3 linked regions of the Nothobranchius furzeri genome follow. The protein of the gene in region 2 purifies or fractionates together with the protein of the main gene of each other region. This does not show direct contact. Links are inferred from orthologs where the notes say so. Each region holds a gene or a part of one and is shown on either strand. Other genes may lie near its edges.

The links. The genes of interacting proteins can lie anywhere in the genome.
Region 1: the proteins of tnrc6c1 (region 2) and cnot1 purify together in Homo sapiens (co-immunoprecipitation; 4 studies listed by BioGRID and IntAct, with this or other methods). This does not show direct contact. The link is inferred for Nothobranchius furzeri from reciprocal best matches to the Homo sapiens genes TNRC6C and CNOT1.
Region 3: the proteins of tnrc6c1 (region 2) and ago3a purify together in Homo sapiens (affinity purification with mass spectrometry; 3 studies listed by BioGRID and IntAct, with this or other methods). This does not show direct contact. The link is inferred for Nothobranchius furzeri from reciprocal best matches to the Homo sapiens genes TNRC6C and AGO3.

What each region holds. Positions count from the first base shown.
Region 1 is NC_091744.1:81,587,234-81,592,021, reverse strand, and holds part of cnot1 (CCR4-NOT transcription complex subunit 1), read right to left. Parts: intron 4,724-4,788; coding exon 4,583-4,723; intron 4,511-4,582; coding exon 4,331-4,510; intron 4,167-4,330; coding exon 4,050-4,166; intron 3,954-4,049; coding exon 3,843-3,953; intron 3,703-3,842; coding exon 3,625-3,702; intron 3,396-3,624; coding exon 3,218-3,395; intron 2,991-3,217; coding exon 2,836-2,990; intron 2,609-2,835; coding exon 2,312-2,608; intron 2,220-2,311; coding exon 2,079-2,219; intron 1,957-2,078; coding exon 1,852-1,956; intron 1,730-1,851; coding exon 1,574-1,729; intron 1,371-1,573; coding exon 1,176-1,370; intron 1,087-1,175; coding exon 944-1,086; intron 820-943; coding exon 711-819; intron 610-710; coding exon 440-609; intron 16-439; coding exon 1-15.
Region 2 is NC_091752.1:54,019,467-54,024,715, reverse strand, and holds the start of tnrc6c1 (trinucleotide repeat-containing gene 6C protein), read left to right. Parts: upstream 1-1,647; 5' UTR 1,648-1,766; intron 1,767-5,249. UniProt on the Homo sapiens protein: Plays a role in RNA-mediated gene silencing by micro-RNAs (miRNAs). Required for miRNA-dependent translational repression of complementary mRNAs by argonaute family proteins.
Region 3 is NC_091745.1:69,140,000-69,144,787, forward strand, and holds part of ago3a (protein argonaute-3), read right to left. Parts: intron 2,958-4,788; coding exon 2,823-2,957; intron 2,640-2,822; coding exon 2,552-2,639; intron 985-2,551; coding exon 837-984; intron 679-836; coding exon 559-678; intron 1-558.

The sequences.
Region 1 (4,788 bases), on a different chromosome or scaffold from region 2:
ATCAGCTGGGGAAGCCTGTGAACGGGGAGCAGCGGGGGTTAATGGGGTAACGTGTACCTTCACCAGGAAGCAGGACGATCGATTCAAGAGTCCGAATCTATTGAAATGCGATCAAACAGCTCACGGTGAAAGCACCAGACATCAGCACATCATACTGTGGTTTGTAACAAGGACATAAAAAGGAACAATGAGAGAAACCCTAAAGGTGTTTTAAAAACTAACTAATCTTAAATGCCAGACAGGATAGTGTGTGGGTTAAACCCTGGATTCTTATCAGGTCTTTTTCCTCATTCATAAGTGACGACTCTGAGGAGACGTTCACACCGGGAACGTCCACAACCATCATCTGGTTGGTTTCACTTTCAAAAACATTCACTTCCAACAGCTAAAAATGGGTGAGAGCAGAAATGTTCACAGAGCAACCAAACCAGATGTTTACCCTTCAGGTGCGTTGGCTCTGGAGTGTGCACAGGTCCTCATTAAGGTCTCAATAGTTTGGAAGAGGTCAGCTTCGGTCACATGGCTCACGCTGCGCTCATCCACCAGCAGCTGCTTCACAAGCTGCATGGCAAAAGCCACGGCCATGTAGTGCAACCCGTTCTCCATCGACTGGGAAGAAACACACAAAAGCACCATATGTGTGTGTGTATGTGAGAGAGAGAGAGAGCGAGAGCGAGAGAGAGAGAGAGAGAGAGACACACACAGCCTACCTGTGCCAGGTGCACGTCGTACTGCTGCATGTTTACTAGGTGGTTCCTGATCAGAAGCTCCACTGCCTCCACGTTGTACTTGTACTCATCCCGACATTCAATCAGACACCTTCCCACACAGAAACAAACTTAAACTCAGTAAGTCATTTAGATTTAACAAATCCATGTGGAGCTCTAAGAGTGGAGGGTTATCGGGTTAGTAACATCTCCATACAACATGCGAGTATATTAACCTGGTGATCTGCTTATTGCACCACTGTGGTCCGTATGCACGCCCATCCTGCAGGGACTTCAGCACCAGCAGGTGGCACTCCCTGTAGTGAAGCAGCAAGTCAGCATCAGCCCCTGTCGTAGCGTCCAGGAGGCCTTCCACAGCCTGAAACATTCAGAGAAACTTGACAATCAGCTTAAGAGTTCATCCTCCATCCAGAAGCTTCCCTGTAATTTTCGGTCTGAGTGTCCTACCTTCTGCAGGAGGCCAAGAGCAGCGATCCCATCCCTGGAGTTCCTGGCTAAAGCCACAGCTTCCAGTAAACTACGCAGACCCTGTGTCAGAGGATTCATGGCCAGTGCTGGAGGGATAGCATGAAGATGCTGCTCCAAGTCGGTGATGCATTTATCATAGATCTGAGCCACGTCGTCTGTGGCCCACACTTGGTTCTGCAAAACAAACACGCAACCAAAACTATGGGTTAAAATCAAGAATTCAGTCACAAAATATTCATTTAATTGTTGAATGTTTTAGTATCAATGTAGCTACTCTACGAGGTTACGGTCAAGTCTGGTGCAAAGGACAGAAACAATCTTATTAAGCATGCAGACACCTTTAAAGCGTTCCTTTCTTTCATCATTTTAGTTCTTACGTTTTGCTTTGGGATGGTCACAGGAGATAAATTCACCTTCATGGGCTGAGCCAAGAAGCCTGTGGGTTGTGAGAGATCATTGCTTGGTAGGAAACCTGGAATATTCCTGGCAAATTCCTCATAAACCGCCAGCTGCTTGGGATCCACTCCTCCCACCTGCAACAGTAAGCGGTTACTCAACAGGTAAAGAACACCTTGACAGCTGACTGAGTCTTTAGTCAGATATGAACAGAAACAAACAGAAGAGGCGCTGCTGATGTGGCACACGCGTGTTTTACCTTCAGCCTGATCTGTTCAGGCATTCGTTCAGCCTGATAAGTCAGAACAACAGGATCACAGTAACGACGGCCCTCTTGGCGAGCATGCTTCCTCAGTTCAAACTCCTGGAGCAGAGAACACACTCTGACTTTAAAAACTTACATTTATTATTAAAACAAACGTTTTGCACAATAAAGAGCTTGATAAACCACATGTACGTCCACACACACTCAGGGTATCAGCTCACCGTGGCTAGTCTCTTGTCCATTTCAGGGCCAGCTTTCTCCACGGCGGTTTTCTGAATGAAGCAACAAGCTAATTCACAGTTGTCTTGTGCGATCCTGGCAGCAGCCTCTTCCATCATCTCTCTCTGCTGCGGGGTTGGTGCCTGAGAGAAGGTCAAAGATAAAAGTCATCAGCCTGGTCACGGAAAGAAAGCTCACCCACTAACAAACACGTGGTAAGAAGAGCTGAACTCACTCTCAGCGCAGCCGCAAAGCTGTTCTTCAGATTGGTGGCGATACTCATGAGCAGGGGCTCCCGGCAGGTGATCATGGCCATGCCAGCTGTCAGGTTTCTCATCATGTGATGAGCAGCCACACGCATGCGGGACTCCTCTGAGTCCAGGGCAAAGTCCTTTCTAATGATCTGCTCACAAGTTGTCATGGCAATCTTGATGGAACGATCCACCACAGGGTGCACCAGCTCCTGGACCGCCCGCTCCACTGACTGCCGCACGCACTGTTTGAGCTGAGGATGAGCCTGCAGCAGAGGGATCTGCCGGGAAGGGAGCAGGACAGAAATGGTCAGATTTAATCTGAGTCTTAAAAAGTAAAGACCACACAAACACCAACAGAGATGTATCCTACTGTTCATGCGGCATCTTGTCACTTAATTGTTCTGATCAGTTCTCCCAAACACACAATATCTGTTTTGCTTTATTATCTATGGAATTATGAGCTCATCTGCTGAAACCAACGGCGTTTACAGGCTTTTAATCTTACGTTGATGTTTATATTGATGTGCGGCCCCAGGCCTGCCAGGGAATACACGTTGATGTCATGATAACTGAACTGTGGTGTGGGGGGGCCTGTGGTTGTGCAGGTGGTGGTGGTAGCAGCCGGGGTGGAGGGAGGAGCTGAAAATGGAACAAAGTCTCCTGTTGATCACAAAACACTCGTTTCATTAAAATCACAAAGAAAAGCATTCAATTCAGACAAAAAATGTACTGTGGTGTAAAAAGTAGACATGAAACAATTTCCAACATAAAAGATGAAAGCTGAACAGGTTAACTTTGTTTTCAGAGGAAGAGCTGCTGCAGATATAAGATGAGCTCTAAAGCATGGCTCCGTGCAGAAACAACATGTGAATAAATGGAGAAATCACCTGCGGTAGAGACGGGTAACATCTCCTCCGGAGGCTTGGCTTCTTTCTTTGGCGCCGACAGCTGCTCCTCCAGGTTCTTCAGCTTGTCTTTGTCCTTCAGCAGGTTTCCTGGCTTCAGCTCATTGATGTCCAGAGACAAGTTCTTACACAGAACTTCAATCTCAAACTTTAAATTCAACTACAGTGAAAAAAAAACAGAACATGTCACAAATACTTCAGATGCTTCTTTATTCTGGATAAAATTTGGACAAAAATAAAAATGTTCAGTTCTTAATGCAGCAAAAAGAAAAAAAAAGAAAAAAATAACTGGCTTCTATTTGCTCAGTTCTTGGTTTTTATTAACTTCCAGAAGTTGAAAACTTTATCAGTTTGATTTCTCATGAAAGTGAAAGAAGGTAATCTGTTACCTTGAGGTCGTGTTCCTGATGAAGCTCAGCTAGAACATTCATGATGGCCATGGTCCATGGATTCTGAGGTCTGAAAACCTGCAGCGTCACAGAAGCACAAACAGGAGGTTAAAGGTGCGGGACACTCGTTAAATCAATACATTTGCAGTGGTCTTTAGTAGGAATGAATGAATCATCTGTGTTCAGCCTACAAGCAGGACCCGGTGTCGGTTTCTCACCATGCTACGTAGACTGGACTCCAAGACTTTGGCCACAAACGGAACAACATACAGCAGCTCCTGCTGGCCTTTCACGTAGGCCTCCAGGAGCAGGGATTTGAGCTCCAGATCCTGAGAAGTACGTGTTTAGTATAATTATAGACCCCCCCAAAAAACACACACACACCATTTTACATGATGACCAACAAGCTTAAAGCCTATTCTTACTGTATAAAGGATCGGCTTGTTTTTGGCCAGCGTGATCATGCCCAACCAGTGACCCAGGTTCTTCAGCAACGAGCGATCAGAGAAGTTAGCAGCTGCCTTGTCTGACGTCAGAAGCACCTGTCAGGGACACACGTTATAAATGTCTGCTCATACCTGGATGCCCTATACATACATACCATCATCATTTTCACAGAACTGTCTGTTAAAACAGTAAAAAAAAACAAAGTACAAACCAAAATGAGATAAAAGGATGCCTTAAAAGTTTGTTTCTCGTTCATTACCTTAATGTTTCTGTAAGTTTCATTGAGAACCATCTTGACAAACTCTGGGTTCTTCAAAGTGTCCAGAAAGTTGGAGTAGAGGCTGTGGAAGTTGGGCTCAATGCTGACGCGCTTCATCACCAGGTACTGAGACACCCATGGCATGAACTCTTCTTTCACAGTCTCCTTCAGCTCCTCGACCTTTGAAAACATCAATGGTTATTTAGGGTTTTGGTGTTTAAACTCGTCTAATACAATAATGTTTTCCCTTACCTTCTGTGTCATGTTGGACTGAGACAGGTTGTTAAAGATGAACGCAATCTTCTCCTGGACGTTCTCTGGAGGTTCTACAATCCTTTCTGTTTGGTCAGTGGCCACCAGCAGGGTGTCGATGTTGGTAGTGTTTATGGAGGGCTACAAGTGTGGGAAATGAGCAGCAGACAAACCGTTAACGAGCAGAAATAAAACTCATGTGGAGG
Region 2 (5,249 bases):
AACTAGCATCAGCACTGCATTCTCTCGATGAAAATAACCGAAGGACCAGTAAAGTCTGAGGAGTCACACCAAGGTCACGTGCTTTCTGCTCCTCAGGTAACAACATTTACCGAAATGTCTTTTTTAAACTAGCGACAATCACGGTGATACAGTGTAAAACTATCCTGAAATGTATGTATGTACTGCCAGGAAACTACACACTGCCACTTTAAAAACGACTCTTCAATTCCAATTTTGAACATGACACTTCTGCTAAGATACGCTCTGAGGTGGAAACTGCCCAACAACTTGGAACATGGAGTTATCAACAAGGATGCAACTTCAGACACAACGCCATCTTGTTTTAACTTAAAAAAGTGACCTTAGGCTGAAAATGTGATTGTTATCGAGTATTTAATGTGTTGTATTGTTGATTAATGAGAAATTGTGCAGCATAGAAAAACAATGCGTGAAACGACGCATACATTTCTAGATTTTGATGTATATTTTTCAAATATACTAAAATGTTGGTAAAAGAAGATTGATTGCAAAATAATACATATTTTTATTAATATTAGACATGTGTGACATCGCCAACCACAATAGCTGACAACTCAATGGAAAAATCATCAACTTACAATGTGATTTTTTTAAACATAAAATAAATCAAATGCCCATTATAATGGGCTTATGTAAAGTCTAAGTATTTGTGACCTCTGAACTGTGAAGTCCGACTGAGCCAAAGAGCTCCAAAGGGTGCTGAATTTTCTCGTTTCTATATCTTGTTGCCTTGCAGGTTTTTGTGTGTTTGGACCATGTTGTTTGGTGTACTGCCATTAAAAGTCATAGCACACTGTTCCCAATGAAACCGCATGAATGGACGTATGATTGCCATGCTTTCGTTTGGACACTCTGTTTAGAGCTGCGTGGCACAAAAGCAAACTTAAATTGTGAAAGAAAAAGAAAACCCAAAGCACTATTTGGTTCATCTTTCTAAAATGCTAACACACACACACACACACACACACACACACACACACACACACACACACACACACACACACACACACACACACACACACACACACATTCTCCCATTTAACACACACACACACACACACACACTCACACACACACACACACACACACACACACACACACACACACACACACATTCTCCCATTTATTTTGAGAAGTAACATCTCCATCCTGGTGAAATATACCACCCGTATCCGAATTGTCTTCAGCACAGCCCCCTGTACCCCCTGTACCCTGCTGCACAGATGCCATGATAGAGAGACACACACTGACGCTGATGTTGCTACTACCCCGGTTTGCAGCAGAATACAAATTGTGCCCTCTGTTGGTCTTCTAACAGAGTACACCAGCAGTCAACATGTGCAGCTTCTCCTCATCGGACAGTTTACCTCTCACACGTAGATTGTTGACTTTTACAGCCGCTTATTCTCGTGTTTGGTAAAAAAAAAAAAAAAAAAAAAAAAAAAAAAAAAAAAGGGTTATTAAAGCTGATGCAAGCTGTGAGAGCATCCGCAGCAGCAAGCCAGTGGCAGAAGGGCTGCAGTTGTCATGGAAACGCCGGAGGAGGAGGAGGAACATTTTGGAGGGGGACCCGTTTGTTTTGTTATTGAAGGTCACGTGGCAATCCGAAGCTCCGCCCCTTCCCCCGTTACCACGGATTCAACCGTCTCGAGCTCCTGCTCCGGTCAGTTACTACAAAATGGCTGCAGAGGCTCCTCCGCCTGCGAGAACCGACTAAACGCTTCATGGTAGGATTTATTTGTCACTCTGGGCGGTAAAACGAGGAGAAAATAGCACGAATTTAGCCTTTAGCTTTGCGCTCAATGTGCATATCTGTGTCGGCTGGTAGGTCGTGAATATTTTCAGTTCACCCCTCTCTTGACACCAGTGTTGTTTTGGCCTCGGGAGCTCGGCTTGAACGAAGTTTTCGGTGTTTTATGGCTTCCGCGAATAGCTGTCGAGTTTAGGAGGCTGTTTGTGTTTGTAGGCGGCCGGAGCAGCGCTGCTGCTGCTGGGACTCAAGGGCGCCTGGAGTCGCTGCTGCTGGTCTGTTTCTTGTTGGCAGATTGGTGGGACGCTGCCGCTGCTCCACCGCTGCTGCTGGAGACTTGACATGGAGATGATTATTGCCGCTCATGTGCACACATTGTGCTGGAGCAGGATGCACCACTACCTGGCTGTTTAAATCCCCCCCAGTCTCTGCCACTGGGAGCGTTTGCCTCACGCTTTTCTGCGCTCTAGTCAACAGCACCTGTCACGTTTGAAACTCCGTGCACGTGCTTTAAATCTCATATTTCTGCTCGGATTTATTCCTGGAGAAGACAGTGTTGAAAATCTGGCTTGTCAGTTCTTTGTTTGCAGCATGTCAGCATTTAGAGACCTGTGTAATCTCTGAGATCCGATGCCTCCATCCTCTTCATCGCAGCATGTTCTGCAGTTTGGCATCAGGCTCACGCGCGCCCGTGCGTTTGTGTGTGTGCGCGTGTGCAGACTGGGAATGCCTGCGCCCTGATGCATGCAGAGGGGCAGACTGACGTAAGCTTTGATTCCTGCCTGGGTCACTAATGTGTTGGTGTTCCTAATTTTGTCCTGGAGGTGGTGGCGGTTATGAGAAGGGGTCATCAAGGTTTTTTTCATGGCCGAGTCGGGTCAAGGGGGGAGCCCTAGTGAGCACCCACGGCCCTGAAAGAGGCAGTTTCTATTCAGAGAGAGGCACCAAAGGGGGTTGATAACAAAACCAGACCGCTAAATGCTGTGATTATAATACAGCTTAGGTCATAGCTTCACTTTCAGCTCAGAACCCTCCATGACCTTTTGCTTAAAGTTGGACTGAAAGGCTAGAGGGCGTTACTTTTGTAAATTCTTTAAACTCAAATGAAATAAAAGTTCACTTAAAGGAGCAATGTGTACGAATTATACTGTACAATAATCACAAAACAGTATAATCTCTCAATCGCGCTGGAAGGAAGGCTATACTGAAACAGATTTATTTCTCAGTGGGCTCGGGGGGTATTCAGGTTTTCTCCTTTTGAATAAAATGAAGCGGGATGTAGTTAATGTTTACAATCAGTGAGTTTGTGAGGTTTTATTTGTCTCCGGCAAGCTAAAGCTCCAGTTCTGGCATTTGTAATTTGACACCGGCCGACAAAAAGCTCCAGAGTTGTTTAAAGAACCGAAGCCGGTAAACAGGAGTGACCCAGAAGTTATTTCTTATACCCCTAAGAAGCCACGGCATCTTTTTGTTTTTCTCTATCTGTGAAGCAGGCTAGAGGCTAACATTAAGCTACCAAGGCTAACAGTGAATTAGGGCAAATAGTCAGTTCTAAAAATATCTCAAACTTCTTTTTTAATCACCAAAACCTCAATATTACAGTGAAATGTATGAGTGAAGTGAATAATGAGTCAGTCGTTACTTCCTTTAATGTTCGTAACTTGTTTTCGTACAAGTTTAAATTGTACATTTTGTCTTGTATATTTGTGTGATGTTTGCTGCAGGACTCCCTTGAAAAAGAAGTTTTAAATCTCAGTGGGACTTTTTTCCTGGGTAAATAAAGGTTAAATAAAAAAATAAAAATAAAAACAAGATGCCAAATGACCACAATTCCTCTAATGCTGGAGAAACATTACTTTAATAAGTGTAGTAAATGCTCCATGCTATGGCTGGGATGATAATCAATAAATCAATTAATCATACGATAGATGAAAATTAACTGAATAATTTTCCCAGCCTCAATATATCGAGGTAAAAAAAATGTACAACTCTATTATTATTATTATTATTTTTAAAATCATTATTATTATTTATTATCATTGAAGTGCAGTTTGGTTGTTTTGGAGAGACGGGGTCTATTTTATTGTTTTTTGCACAATATTTTCTAACAGAGTGAGAGTCCTTTTTAATTTATTTATTTATTGTTTGTTTGTTTTTATTTATTTGTTTAGAGGTTCTGGACATTCCAATGTTAAATAAAAGTTTAATTGTTGCATTTTAAAGCGTGTACTTGCATTATTATGATATTAATATTACGTAAGTGGTTATTTTGGTCTTGATAATGTCGACAATAATATCGTTTATCATCAATAATTTATTGGACAATATATCGTCCAGCAAAATGTATCGTCCCAAGTCTACTCCGTACCGTAAAATTACTAGAGTGCCAACATCAGATATAACAATGTATTTATCTACTTGTTAACTTACTGTGTATGACTCGTCATTGTTAACGTCGTTTGAATATAACAGCGTCACTAACAGCATTCTTTTTTGGGTAACGGAATAATCTAATCAATTACTTTTCCCACTGTTGCAACGCCGTTACCGTTACTGGGGATGGAAGGTTGTGCGTTACTATGTGCTTGTCGAACGTTGAGCAACAGTGTGAGGCTTTCTGACCGCCACACTTCAGCTGCAGCCAGGGAGAGAGAGGTGTCGGTAACGCACTAACAAACACGATGATGATTGGCCGGGTGGGCGGAGACCCTCAGTGTTCTCACTGTCTCAGTCGCTGCCTGCTGTAGACCCAACAGAGCAGTGATGGGAATAATGCCATTTAAAATAACCACGTTAATAAAAAAAAATATTCTTTCTGTAACGAACAAACTAATTAATTACCGTCTTCTTTTAACAAAACGATAGTTTCTGTTACTGATAAGGAAATGCGTGCGTTAAGCAGCGCAGTGTGTTGAAGCTGTCATCAGCTAATGAGGAGCTAAAGAGGCAGATGTTTTCATCCAAGCGCATCTCGGCCCGTGAAGAACGAGGAAGACGTGATGAATTCGTTGCTGCAGCAGCGGATCTGCTGGTCTGCAGCCGTGCCCTTCTTAGAGTGACGTCCCGAAGGTCCGCTCACCTGTTCACCGCTCGGACGTCCTGATCTTCTACCTTCCTAGATCATCCAGCTGTAACCTGTTTCTGATCATGTCTTTAGTCCCGCTGTAACACTGATGCATCAGTCTCACACGTCATGGAGCTCAGGTGTTATCAGAACTACCTGTGTGTGTTTACCACCCAGCTTCAGCTCTTCTGTGGTTGGGTCTGACCCAAGTTAGTAAATGTAAGTCCTCCATCAGGCTTGTGCCTCTTCTAGTATCATTTTAAAGGATTTTATTTATTTATTTAACCGTTACTAGATTACCAGCAACAGAAATGCTACTAAAAACACACAATTATGTGAAGCTGGAAAAATTAGAATACTGTGCAAAATTACATTCATTTCTGTAATTTAACTAGA
Region 3 (4,788 bases), on a different chromosome or scaffold from region 2:
GCATGAAAACAGTCTGCTACATGTGCTGTAGTGTGCTCCAATCATTTTCTGTTTTAGAAAGCAGCTAGAGGGATGCGGTTTAATAAGCTAAATGCTAACTGAGGCCAGAGGACCACAATTATTATTATTTAAAGTCATTTGGTCTGATATTTTCATTATGGTTTATTTTTCGGTCTTTGTGCAGATCTGAAAAGTCATTACCAAATGCAATGTAAACACACGCAGACATGCCTCTGGTAATAACAGAAAATTAGAGACACATTAGGTGATTATATAAGAAAATAAATGCTACTACCTTCAAATATTATATTCTCAACTTTGCATTGCCCTAATTATGTTGATTCTTTTAAAAACCAGTTAAAAATTGTTTGTAATGAAATTTGCCCCATAAAATTTCAGGCTTTTACTCATTTTATTCAGCTTTATCTTTGCATTTATGCTCTTCTGTTTTAGCGCTCATCTTTCTGTAGATTTTGCTTTTTTTTTATGAACTTTCTAGTTTTTATATTTAAAAAAATGCTTCTATTGTGTTGAAAAACAATGCAGCTGAAAACTCACCAGCCTGCTGATCTCCTCCTGCCGGTCGGGTGCAGAGCGAGCTGTGGCTTTAATCATAGTGGAGGTCTGATTATCTGTCAGCTTCTTAATGCACCGTTGACCAGCTACGATGTTACAAACCTGCAAAAAAACAAACAATAAATAAATAAAATTAAAAAATGGATTTTATTTTATTACTTAGCAACAGGTCACACAGAAACAATCCCATCTTCATTACAGTGAAACTGACTTTGTTTAAAGGTTAATGTCAGATGACATCAAAGCTCGTTTTCTCTCACCTCCAGAGGCAGGTAGGTGTGTTTCTGCTCCTGGCCCACCTGTAGACAGGGCAAATGTGGGTACTTGAGCTGCAGGGTGTACTTCTCCCTGAAATACTGGGCTACTGTACGTTCTACAGTCTGGCCATTCTCCAGCTGTAGAGGGAACCTGAAATGAGAAAATAATGAATAAATATAAAAATAAATTCTAAGCTGGACTTGACAAACAACGCAGAACTCCTTTAAAGAACGCTCATAGCATGTCCCTCATTTCAGATCAGAGCTTTAAAGCATCTTATGTTAAAAGACTTTGGCCGTTTAAGAGTTCTTTTAAATAAAACCATGACTGATCTCCCAATTTATTGTTTGAGATTACCTTTATCTAATAGGACGCCACATTTTAGGTCACTATCTGTAGAACGGGCCGAGTAATGATAATTTTTATGTTGTTAAAGGGACTTTTCGGACTTTTGAATTTTTATGCTCGCGATCGCCCCCTCAGGCCAAAAGCGTAACGGCAGCTTCAGTAGTAGGCTCGTGCACGAGGCGCGCATGCTGAACATGCACACTCAACGAAAATAACAGCTGAAACAGTACCTTGTGTGTGTGTGTGTGTGTGTGTGTGTGTGTGTGTGTGTGTGTGTGTGTGTGTGTGTGTGTGTGTGTGTGTGTCCCAGAGGACAGGAGAATGAGCAGCTAATGAAATAATTTGGTTCTGTACCTTTCTCTTCAGCACAGCCGACTAAGGTTTAAGATGGGTCAGTCCTCCTGCATGCTCAGATCATTCCCTTCCCTTGCTTGAAAAATTGCTCCAAAATGAAAGTTGAACCCACGTCTTTTTTATCTGTGAATTCAATGCCGTTCGGCAAGTATCAAATAAAAATTTGGGCATCTTATTGTAAAAAAAAAAAAAACCATTAATGTAAAAAAGAAACTCTAAATGAACTATGTTCACACCCAGAATCGAACCCAGGTCTTCTGCATGAGAGTCAGACATCTTACAAGGTGAGCTACACACCAGTAACATTCATAGTATCTGTAACTTCTATATCCTTGATAACACCTGAAACAACGTCAAACCAAAGAACGGTTCAAAGCGAAAATGGCTATTTTGTTGCTAATTTGCAGGAAATATCTAGAAGAAAGTTCTACAGAAAGTAGCTAAGGGTCCTCAGAAATGTAGCTAGGTTCATCACTAGGCGTTAGGAACAGCGACAAAGTCGCTGAGTTGGCACTACCTCTCTCTCTGCTGCTAAAGCTACTGATAGCAAATGCTACGGGCTATGCCTGAGCGTGAACGAGCATGAAGCAGCCTGCTCGACCCGAGCATCTCTCTTTTTCTGTGATTTTACAGAAAAAGAGAGCTGCTCGACCCGAGCATCTCTCTTTTTCTGTGATTTTACAGAAAAACAGGCAATCACAGTAAAAATGCCAGGGCTCATTCTACAGGACCAGGGCACTGCAGGAGAATGTATGAAGAAGAAATTTATTATTTCTATACATGTTTTGGCTGTCAAACTTCCATAATGCCCCTTTAATGTTGACTATATTATACGTGAATGAATAAAGACACCAGCAGCAGCAGAACATTCCAGTAACAGATGACTAACATTGGCTGCATAACTGTTAGATGAGTAGGCAATTATCTTTAGTGGTGATGGGGATTACATGTGTGCCCCTAAATTACACGCACAGCCCCAAGTCTGTTCCCTCGCACGCCAAGAGGGCTGACTCACGTTTGATGGCTGGCAGGCCGCCGGGTCACGTTGCAAACTCGATATTTCCTCCTCATTGTTCCACAGTGTGTCACCTCCACCTTTAAACCTGGGAAACAGCATGAAACGTGTTGGAAGGAACACATATCTTCTTGAATTGCTGTTGCCATGTGCTCAGGCTAATCCAACCCAAAATGCCCCCCCCCCACACACACACACGCACGCACACACACACACGCTTAAACCGGAGGTAGAGCCCAGGAGCAGGCAGACGCTACACCTTCTGCTTCACCTTTGATTTCTTTGGTGAATTTGACCCGGTGAGAGTCTGTGAGAGGCCGCGGCTGCTCGTCGATGTTGTGGATATCCAGGACTTCACACATGAACTGGATCACAGGCTGGGCTTTATAGAAGGCTGTGGCAGAGACTGGAAAATGAGACAAAAATCCAGAATCATTTCTGTGTTCAAAAAGACAACCTCAACGTATCCGAACATGAAGGAATTATCCTCTAGTAATGAGCCTAAGCTATAGCATAAATCCCCCCAAATGATGATGCATTATTATGAATAGGATGAGAACTTTACTGCTAAATTATCACTTAATTATCTTTAATGACTTACTCTTTGATCTTCATCAGAAGTCTTGCATTTAAAAAAAGTCATTTCGAGTTGTCCTCCCATGTCACAAGCTTTCATCTCTACTCACGTAGAGATGTAAAGACATTTAAAAGCTCTCATCTCGGTAATTACACCCCAATACCAGAATCTCCGGCGCAGGGTTTGTTAAAAAACAGGCGTATTATACGTAGATTCAGCTACACGATAATACAGTAAGTGGTTTATAAACATTTTGAAGTTCCTCTCAGACACAGACATGAGGCCAAGGGGGTGGCCAACTGATTTACAAAGAGCGGGAAATTAAGACAAAGACAGAATCAGAAGAACTCAGAAGTAGACGGAGACTTTAAGCACTTGGGGCAACACAAAAGCGGTCTCAAGGAAATGCCCCACATAGCTACGCTCCTGACCCACCCAACACCCACACACACACAGACACACACACACACGCTTTGTTCCGTTTCCACAGCAACAGCTGCCATACAACTAAAATAAGTGAACATTCCTGCTTTTCAACCAAAGTTGTTTTAGACTTTAAAAGTTGGTTTGGAATCCATAAAACTCACATGAACACGCGCGCGCACACACACACAAACACACACACACACATCTACAGCTCGTGGCTCTGGCGTTGCAGACTCTGCTCCTGAAGCACAACATTTTGGGAGTGAAGCCGGTGCGTTGGTGGTGAAAACAGAGAACTGGCTCCACATTTGGAGCAAATTACAATTAAAAGACATTTTTATCACTGCTAAAAAGGCTCATTTCTGCCATATTTAAACACTTCTAGTCATTTAAAATACATCAGCAGTTCATCTAACATTGTATTAACCTTTACATTGTAATCATCTTCAAATTAGGGTTGCAACTAAATATTGGTGCTTGATTGTAGTCTGAGAAATAATCACGGTTTCACGATTACGGCATTTATTTACATGAATTAACTTCACATCTGTATTAACATATATAAAACACACACACACACACACACACACACACACACACACACACACACAGGGCTGCAACAACGAATCGATAAATTCGATGAAAATCGATTACTAAAAGCGTTGGCAACGAATTGCGTCATCGATTCGTTGTGTTGCGCAACTCTTCCAAAAGCCCCCTCCCCTCCTGCCCGCCGTTGCGCGCAGACCGGTGGAGAGCCGGCAGGTGTTTGTAAGAGGAACATGGCGGAAGCAGCAATACCCCAAAAAAGTAAAAACTTCTAAAGTTTGGGAGCATTTTCAGTTAAATCAGGCGAAGACATGCAACGTTTGTAGGTCAGACAGCATGGCCCGGGGATACTACGGTGATGATGCAGCATCTTAAACACAAGCATGTCGGAATCATCAGCGAGGAAGGAGAGAGCTCTGTGTCCGGGTAAGTTAAAAACTTTTCAAAAGTGATTCACCCAAGCCCCGGATTATTACACAGGCTAGACATGCCCTAAGCTCGTTAAAAAAAGTCTATAAAATTGTAAGCGCGACGCTATTAGATAGGCGGGGGGGGGGGGGCTCGCTGCGAACCGGTTCCGCCGTCACATTCCCGCAGAAACTGGTTGATCACACCAGGGCCAGACTACTAGCGTGTGGCTTTACAACCACAATGTCCTCAGGAGCAAAAACGCTTTTAAAAGGGA